2 linked regions of the Tribolium castaneum genome follow. The protein of the gene in region 1 purifies or fractionates together with the protein of each later gene. This does not show direct contact. Links are inferred from orthologs where the notes say so. Each region holds a gene or a part of one and is shown on either strand. Other genes may lie near its edges.

The links. The genes of interacting proteins can lie anywhere in the genome.
Region 2: the proteins of Br140 (region 1) and elg1 purify together in Drosophila melanogaster (affinity purification with mass spectrometry; 3 studies listed by BioGRID, with this or other methods). This does not show direct contact. The link is inferred for Tribolium castaneum from reciprocal best matches to the Drosophila melanogaster genes Br140 and elg1.

Annotation. Positions count from the first base shown.
Region 1 is NC_087401.1:11,380,600-11,384,939, reverse strand, and holds part of Br140 (peregrin), read left to right. Parts: intron 1-595; coding exon 596-736; intron 737-791; coding exon 792-812; intron 813-868; coding exon 869-1,047; intron 1,048-1,101; coding exon 1,102-1,259; intron 1,260-1,311; coding exon 1,312-1,551; intron 1,552-3,122; coding exon 3,123-4,311; intron 4,312-4,328; exon of another isoform or gene 4,329-4,340. UniProt on the Drosophila melanogaster protein: Scaffold subunit of the histone acetyltransferase (HAT) Enok complex which has histone H3 acetyltransferase activity.
Region 2 is NC_087399.1:3,031,131-3,036,250, reverse strand, and holds the start of elg1 (ATPase family AAA domain-containing protein 5), read right to left. Parts: upstream 3,269-5,120; 5' UTR 2,979-3,268; coding exon 1,217-2,978; intron 1,162-1,216; coding exon 225-1,161; intron 176-224; coding exon 1-175. Other genes in the region: E3 ubiquitin-protein ligase MARCHF6, read left to right, coding at 4,723-5,120. UniProt on the Drosophila melanogaster protein: Has an important role in DNA replication and in maintaining genome integrity during replication stress. Promotes PCNA deubiquitination.

The sequences.
Region 1 (4,340 bases):
ATTCAGTTTCACAAGAACGGTTCTCTCTTTTTGATAATATTGTTAGTAGTTTTTATTTCTGTTACAATTTTCGGATTATAATAAAATTGTTACTTAGCATAATTTTTGTGTTCCTTCCGTAATTTCACTAGTTCTCATTTTTGTAATATACTTCCTCTGTATTACGTATGTTTTCACAAAAAATCAATCATAACATTTTTATTATCAGTAAGTAGATTAGCACCTGTAACTTTTTTAAAAAGGTAAGCCATTTAGAAAATAAAAGTTGGCAGAATTATGTCCCATCCGTAATCAATAATCATGGAATGGGTGAATTTGGATTAAATTAAATGTCCAGTTAGTTAATTTTCTGTTTTTTTTTAACTAAATAAAGCCATGAGCGCATTTTAAAATACTTTATTTCCTACAGTTCAAGTAAAACTGCTGTAAAACAGTAAGGAAAATGGCTGAAATTTGACGCTTTCTAGCCCCTTTAATCAGTGTTGAACGTATTTTTTAGGCAACCCATTTTTGATACATTCCTTTGATAAAAAATAAATTTCATCGGGTAAGCAGATGAGTGAAGTACGATTCTAATTCGTATCCTTCACTCTAGGTTGAGTATGATGTGGACGAAGAGGACACCACTTGGTTGTCTTTAATGAACGAAAAACGCGAAGCTGCGGGCCTTAACCCCGTCTCGGTGGACTCCCTTGAACTCCTGATGGACCGCTTGGAGAAAGAGTCCTATTTTCAGGTATAACCGCCCCCTCAATTTAAAATCCCTAACCCCAACTTGTATTGTTTTAAAGGTCTATCACGTAAATGGTCAGGTTTGCACTTTGCGAAAAATTCACAAATTCCGTGTTTTATTTCGAGCTGTTTTCAGGCTTCGGTAAACGGTCACACGGGGGCTGTGGTGGACGACGATGCCGTCTGTTGCATTTGCATGGACGGGGAATGCCAAAACACTAATGTTATTTTATTTTGCGACATGTGTAACCTTGCCGTCCATCAGGACTGCTACGGAGTGCCCTATATCCCAGAAGGCCAGTGGCTGTGCCGGAGGTACATATTTAATTTTTTCTACAAATGCAGTTTTACAATTATTGCCAATTTCAGGTGTCTTCAGTCGCCCAGTCGGGCCGTTGATTGCGTCCTGTGCCCCAATCAAGGGGGCGCTTTCAAGCAAACGGACAGGGGGCACTGGGCACATGTCGTTTGTGCCCTGTGGATCCCCGAGGTCCGGTTTGCTAATACCGTTTTTCTCGAACCTATCGGTATATCACGGACGGTGTTACCAACAAGAGAAAAATTTATTCGTTTTTTTAGATTCCATAGAAACCATTCCAGCAGCAAGGTGGAAGCTGACGTGTTACGTGTGCAAACAGAGGGGCGTAGGGGCGTGTATACAGTGTCACAAGACCAATTGCTATTCGGCGTTTCATGTCACGTGTGCACAACAGGCGGGGCTTTACATGAAAATGGACACCGTTAAAGATACGGGGGATTCACAGCCGGTTCTTGTGCAGAAAATCGCCTACTGTGATGTGCATGCGCCCGCGGAGAGCAGTACGTTTCGGGGAAACCCTGTCTTTTACCTTCTTTTTTTTAAATTCATGAGGAAAAACGAAAACCAAATGCTACCAGATTTTAACATTTTTTTTAAATATCTCTATATCCAGTTTAGGTATAAAACCCAAATTTTGGCTAAGTCTACAAGTAATCAAATGCCACACGTTGGTCAAATTTCAGACATTTTTGCGCCACTCTATATAAAATATACAGGTGTGTACTACGAGTTTGTGCCAGATATAACGAAAAAAGAAGAAAAATTTTTATTTTCTTGTCAGAATTTTTATAAAAAAAAACAACTCCTTTTAAACAAGGACAAAAAGTATGTTGGTTCGATTTTATGATGATTTTTTCAATTTCTCTCGATTTTCGGTACCGGGAACATTTATCGAGCAATAACTCCGGAGGTATTAGATGTAAGCCTATGAAGTTTATTATCGTTGGAAAGCTCTTTTAATTATCTATCTTCAAAAAAAAGATCATTGCTTTCCGACTAATACTTTTCGAAAAAATTGCAAACAAATGTAAAAATCGGTAATAATAAAAAAAAATTATAATGAAAAAAGTATTGGAAATTTGGCGATTTTCTCGACGCCAGTCGATTCCTCGGATAATTTTACATAGGTTTGCATCAAAATAGTTACACTTTTTTGAATAGTTTTGTCGTAATTGAGAAAATAAAAAAATTGTTAACACATCAAAATGGACAATTTGAAAAGTGTTTCAAGATTAAAACAATTAAAAGTCATTCTTTCTGATTAATTTTGTGCTATTTACGATGGAATAAAGCTTTTTTCCTGACTTAGTTTCGCCGTAATCAGCGTTTGAAAATTGCAAAAAAAATTTTGAGATATCGCCTTAAAAACTGTGCTATTTGGTAAAGCTTTGGAAATCATTTTTTTCATTTTCCGCTAATTCTGTAGTTTCGCCTAAATCGGCGTTTGAAAATTGTAAAAAAATTGAGAAAGAAAGTGTAAAACACAACTTTTTTTGCGTTTTTCTTGGAAACTATAACACTCAGGGCAAAAATGAAAAAAGGATTAGATGGCGGTTAAAATTTTCTATTTTTTTGTCAAAACCCGGAGCCCCGGGCAACGGTTTCGAATACAGAGGCATTTTAATTTTTTTCACTGAAAAAATTGATAGCTTGAAAACTAAAAGTTGTAAACCAAAAAATAATTCTATTGAATACTACGTATTGTACCAGCATTTTTACAACACTAGCTTACTCGGGAATTTATTTAGAAGCTTATGTATAACTTGAAAACTATTTTGATTTATGAATTTTGCAGTTTGCTCAACATAAATTGATTTCCCGTATTATTTTACGTAAATTGAGAAAATAATAAAATTAAAAAATTTGGAAAAATTCGTCAGTAGTTCCAAGTGATGATAAATTTTGACATTTAGATCGTTCTTTGTTAAATATTTCCGAAACGGGTGTATCTTTAAAACCCATCTTTTGCCCACGTTATTAACTATTACACATGTTGGTCAAAATCGGTGGTGAAATTTTGCGCCCCCCTGTATAAAATATACCGGGCCCTTTCTATAAGTTTTTTTACCAGGTGAGGCGAAAAAAGAAGACGCCCGCCAGAAAATGAAGAAAGCTCGCAAAATGCTTGCGAAAAAACGAACATCGGCTCCGGTCATCCTCATCCCCACCATTCCCCCGGACCGCATCCAAGAAATCGGTGCCTTGGTAACAATTACGAAAAAATCGCAATTTATCCAACGTTTGATCGCTTATTGGACGTTAAAACGCCAATTTCGAAACGGTGTGCCCCTTTTGAGGCGCCTCCAGAGTGCCCAAGGGGGCCCTCGAGACTCCAATACCAGCAACGTTGACACTATTGAGTTGTGTCGGCAGCTGAAGTATTGGCAGTGTTTGAGACAGGACTTAGAACGTGCCCGATTACTGTGCGAATTGGTCCGAAAACGCGAAAAAATCAAACTCGAATCGATCAAAATCTCCGAAAAGTGTCTCAAAATCCAGTTGAAACCACTGGAGGCGAGTTTGCGCCTCGTCCTTGACCTGGTGGCCGCCAAGGACACCAATGAGATATTTAGCGAACCGGTGGACCTTGAGGAGGTTCCAGACTACACCACTGTGGTATCCGAACCCATGGACTTGAGTACCATGAGGAAAAAGCTAGACGATGGTCTGTACCCTGATTTAACTTCGATGGAGAAAGACTTCGATTTAATGATCGCCAATTGTCTCGCTTACAACAATCGCGATACAGTTTTCTACCGGGCGGCCATCAAAATGCGCGATCAGTGTGGCGCCATCTTCCGGCAAGCGCGCAAAGAGCTGGAAACTTGCGGTTTGTTGAACGAAGCGAGTGGCGAAACTCCGGCGTCGGGGAATGAGGAGGCGCTTGCCTCGGATATCGACAAGGAATTGGAGGGTTTGCAAGGGAAGGTGGGGCCAGACGTGATCACGAAACTTGAGGAGTTATTGGTCAAAAGCCAGGCCCTCAAGCACGGATTGGCCCGAGCGAAGCGAGTCAAAGTAGTGCGCAGCGAATTAAACAAGGCTAGGAAGAATCTAGCCAATACGGACAGCTCCCAGTCGGATGGCGAGAACGAAGGGGGCGGGGACTCCAAAAACAGCTCCCAGAGCTCAGGCGTGTCACCTAGTGGTGTCAACCGGCGAACTGCCGTTCTTTTCACGCGCAAAGCGCAGGCGGCTTTGAAAAAACCGGCTGAAGAGAAGGAGGACAAGGGGACTCCGCCCCCCGAAGCCCCCAAGCCGTAAGTAAAGCCAACTATTTGTTTTAAGG
Region 2 (5,120 bases), on another chromosome or scaffold:
GCTATAAAAGCGGTTCCCCCTCTTCGTACTATTTGCCGCTCTCTCAAATTCGGACCGTGCTATGCTCCTCAAAGCCGGCATATAATCCAAAGCTACGTCCTTCCGGTGTAAACAATCGGCCGGTAATACAGCTTTCTGTAATCTCAGCTCGCACCCGATTTGTTTCGAGCGCCACCTGCAATCAAATTAATCACAAATGGACGATTGACGAGTAACACAGCCACCTTCGTTCCTCTGGAACCGGCAGTGTAACATCAAAATCAACCTTCGAATCCTCAAAATTATTCACTTGGCCACTTAATAAAAATTGCGCTAAATCATTGCTAAAATCACTATAATCTGGAAGAGAAAAATTCTCCTCAAGAGTCAAACTATCCTTTTCTTTGGTCCGCCAAGACCGTTCGAGACTTTCCTCAAACCGGTTTTTTTGACACATGACGTCAGCAAACGCCAACGAATCGTAACAATTGGCCAGCGCTTGCAATTTGTTTTTTTCGGTTTTCCCGGCCGGGAAATCACAAATGTGGCGATTTAACCGATGTTTGGAAAAATCGGGCATTTTTAAAATGCGGGGAAAGTTCCACCAAAGCAACTCAAAATTGTGTAACCAATTAAAAATTGGCACACAATTCGAATGTGTCTGGATTGTGTCACTAGCGCACTCTGTGCCAAAATCGGGCAAGTTTGAATCATCGTCAATGTCAATTGACACACTAGTGGCACCACCAGTGCTACCACCATGATTGCCATCAGGGTGGCCACCCGACTTGACCCACAGTTGTAATTGCAGCAAAGTCCGCCTGATGTCGCCTTTATTGAACGCCAACAACTCGGCAAGTGCCTCGATTTTGACAAAATAACCCTCAATTAGGCACAAAATTTGCAACCAAACTGTCAAAATTGGCGTCAAAGGCGCGAATTGAAACACTCGACAGTCGTTTATGATTCTTTGGATGCCGGCAGATGGCTCGTCGGTCATTGTTAAAACAATTGGCCGCTTGCTTGTTGACATTATCTGCGAGAGGGCAGCACTGAAACCCTCGTCTTGGTCAAAGACAATGTCAATGTCTTCGACCAATAGGACGCATTTGCTCGTGTTTTGTTTTTTCTTGACTTGATGCGACTGGGTGGCTTCTTGTAACTCCTGAAGGAGGCGTTTACCTATCAAAGGCCGGGTTAGAATCAGAGATACCAGCCTAAAAATACAAATACAAACCGGTGCGTTTGCTCGAAGCGTTAACTTCAAGTATGTTGTAACCGAGTTCGGTGCAAATGGCGTAAATGGACGAGGTTTTGCCGCTTCCGGGGGGTCCCCGCAAAATGACAGTGTTGCCAAAAGTGGCACTGTCGCGACTGTCGCTGTCGGTAATTTCGAAATCTGATTCGCTGCCCCGTCTTTTGTGTTCACTGAGCGACCAATGGGAAAGCCAGTCTTTCAAAGATGACACAACTTTGTGGTTCCCGATGATGTCGAGAGAGGAAGTTGCTCGGTATTTCTCGGTCCACATCGTGTGTTCCCGCGATGTAATTTCTGGTGGTTTTTCCAAAGATTTTTTCTTTTTGCGACCGCGGCGTTTCGGTGTTACGTCATTCACGGTTTCAATTATTTGACCACTTTTCTCAAACAATGAATTAAATATCTTATAAACCGGATAATTTGGATTTTGTAATTTTATCTCCTTGATGATTTTTTTTAAATTTGTTATTTTTTGCACAGACTCGTTGACAATTTTATTTTCACCATCACTTCTAGTTATTAAATTTTCGACAAGTGGAGAAATAAATTGCATTTTTTCCTCCACGTTTGCCAGCTTTAAATCAACTTTGGGTAAATCCCAGAAAATATTGTCGGATTTTTGCTGGACGTGACTTAACGACGGGAAAATATCAAAATCCGATTCTTCAGTACTAAAAATTCGCACCTTTTCCATCTCTTTTTTCAAAGAAGACGGAACACCACTCATCAAAAACTGTCTTCTTGCTTCCATTGCTTCCGGATCTAATTTTGGTTTTGGAACAGCTTTTAAGAAAACTGGTGCCACTTTTGTCTTCTTCTTCTTCTCATCGTCCGAATCAGAAAGTTGAAGAAAATCATCGTATTTTTTCGGTTTTCGGGATCGTAAAACTCTGCGTGAGGCATTTTCGTCGGAAACAGAGTTGGCTGGGTCCACGTCGAGTTCGATGACGTCAATGCCACTGTCACTAGACTGCGTATTGACAGGGGCATTTTCAACTATCACCACGTCTGCAACACTTCCTTGGGCATTTTCAACACTCTTTTGAGCATTTTCAACACTTCCTTGGGCATTTTCAACACTTCCTTGAGCATTTTCAACACTTCCTTGGGCATTTTCAACACTTTTTGGGGCATTGTCAACACTTTTTGGGGCATTGTCAACACTTTTTTGGGCATTTTCAACACTTCCTTGGGCATTTTCAACATTTCGTTGACTGTTGACAGACGAATTTTCAACATCACTCCTGTCATCCACGGCCAACTTGATCTTAAATTTCCACTTTTTGTTGGCAGTTGGTGTTTTTGGTGCCTCGTTCTCACTGTCACTTTCAATTACAACAGTTTTCCGCTTCTTCCTTTTAGTGACCACCTCATCGTCACTTTGACAATCAATATTTAGCAACTTTTTCAATCGTTTTCCCCGTTTCTCCAGCTTGTAACTGATGCAATTGCCGACTTCCTCGTACTCTCGTTTACGTTTGGCAGCCCCCTTGGCCTCCGCCCAGCTCTCAAACCGACTTTTCCTCTCCTTTAAGACACTTTTATCCGAGGCTGTTTCCGAGTCGTTTGCGTCAGGTTCACGCCCAGGGGAATTCCCCCCAATGCTCCGATGTCTTCGATTCATCATAAATTGAAACGCGTTGATTTTAGCCCCATTTGGGGAAGTTTCGGGGGTTTCTTCATTGGTGTGCTTGTTTTTCTTTGATTTTTTACCGGTCTTTATTGGAGTTGAATCTTTCATTGTTCCTAAATCATGTTTTGCTTCGATAACACACTAAAAACTGCACTAAAACACAATACAAAAAACTTGGCGCCAAATCAGCGCTTTGTTGACATTTTTTGTAGACTTTAAGGTTAGGTTTCTTGTGGCTAAGGTTACGTAACACGAAATTAAGTGTAATTCACAAACCAAGCCCCACAATTGATATTACGCGATTTGTGATCTTTACTGATACGAAACTGGGTTGTTTTAAGTCAAAATATCAGGGTAAAACCCCGCACAACTCATTATTTGTGTTAGTGACTGGTGGTTTTGTCAGGTTGGTCTTTTCCCGAACTAGCCAACAGTTGGCTTCCTGAGTGAAAGTAAACGTCAGTCTTGTGGTATTACGTCAAAAAATAAATTTTTTCGTCCTGAAAAGCCTCAAAACGCCTAAAAAATTGCAGTTTTTGTCGAATTTCGAGCATTTGTGATCACGCAACTATGGATCTTTGAGTCGGATCCGTAAATTACATAATGTTCTTCACATTCAAGTAGTTTCCTGTGCCAAAAAACATCAGGTAATTTTTTGTCCCAGCTTGTTTATTGTGTTGATTCTTATTAACTAATCAAAAAAAAATCAATTAGTGTGAGTTGTAATCCCTTGATAATAATTTCGTTTATCGGTGGATTGAAAATGTGGGCCATTCGAGGTCTCTGCCCCCAACACATGGCCTGCTAATTGCTAATTTACATAACTGCATCAATGGGGGCTCAATATACTTGAAAAATCCGTGTTTACGATTGGGGGAACTTTGATACGGCCAAGTGAATCATTGGAACAATTCCCAGATTTTTATGTTAAAAATAAATCCCTTGTGTCTGTCACACTACAGATAATGCGTTTTTTATCAGTTTTTGGGCATAATTAACTAACAACAAACGTTTTTTATTATTCTAATTGCAAAAGTAACCTTGAGATAAAATCAGTTGATTTGTGAACGCAAAAAATCGATTTGTTTTGCCGAAAAACAAATGAATAACGACAAAGTACAAAGTGGGAGGTTTGTTTTGTTTTCAATTCAATTGTTCTCATGGGTGTCGTCGCGTTTCGAACGTAGATAATGCAAATATTCAGTTTATTCCGGAATTGGACGATAAAGAAATCGACCAAGGACAGGGTCGGACTAATTAAAAATTGATTCAGTTCGATTGCATCACAATCATGGGAATGAGAAAATCGCAAGGAACGGTCAAGGTTAAGAGATACACAACTCAGTTTTTTCGAGAAATTCAATAATTTAAGTCTGTAAAAACATTCTGTCTCATTTGAGGGGTCTAGTTTCAGCTTTATGCTTTATTAAATTGTTATTAACTTTTCAGGAACGGAAAAAAACTTCATCTTTTGTAATTTATGCTTCTGTTTTGTTTGTTCTTTTTTTTCATATTATGGGGTGGCTCGTGCCTGATAGCAGGTCAAAAAAAAGAGTTGCCAGATTTAAACTTATTTACATCAGAAATGCTCCCAAAAAAAGAAGGGAAAAATAATGGACTTGCATAGAGGGAGAATCTAGTGGAGAGAGCATTAGCGGGAAACTCTGGTTTTTGCACAAACTTTTTCATGGCCACTTCCAAAACTTTCTGTTTAGTACAAATTTTGATCTAGTATAGTTAAAATATTAACCAAATATATTTGGAGAAAATACAGCTCCCCTCTGATTTTTTAGGAATGTTTTTTGATATTTGAGTTACTGTCTTTTTTTTTTTACTGTGTCTTTTCAGCGTAATGATGGACTCGGAACTGTCCAACACCGACATCTGCCGGGTGTGCCGTTCGGAAGGCTTGCCCGACCGCCCCCTGTTCCACCCCTGCATCTGCACGGGCAGCATAAAGTGGATCCATCAGGAATGCCTCATGCAATGGATGCGTTACTCGCGCAAAGAATACTGCGAATTGTGCAGTTATCGTTTCTCCTTCACTCCCATCTACTCCCCCGACATGCCACGCCGCCTCCCTGTGCGAGACCTCGCCGCCGGTCTCCTCTCCTCCATCGGAACCGCCATCAAATACTGGCTCCACTACACTCTAGTCGCCATCGCTTGGCTCGGAATCGTCCCTTTGACAGCCTGTCGGATCTACCGCGCCCTTTTCGCCGGCACTGTCGACGCCATCTTGACCCTTCC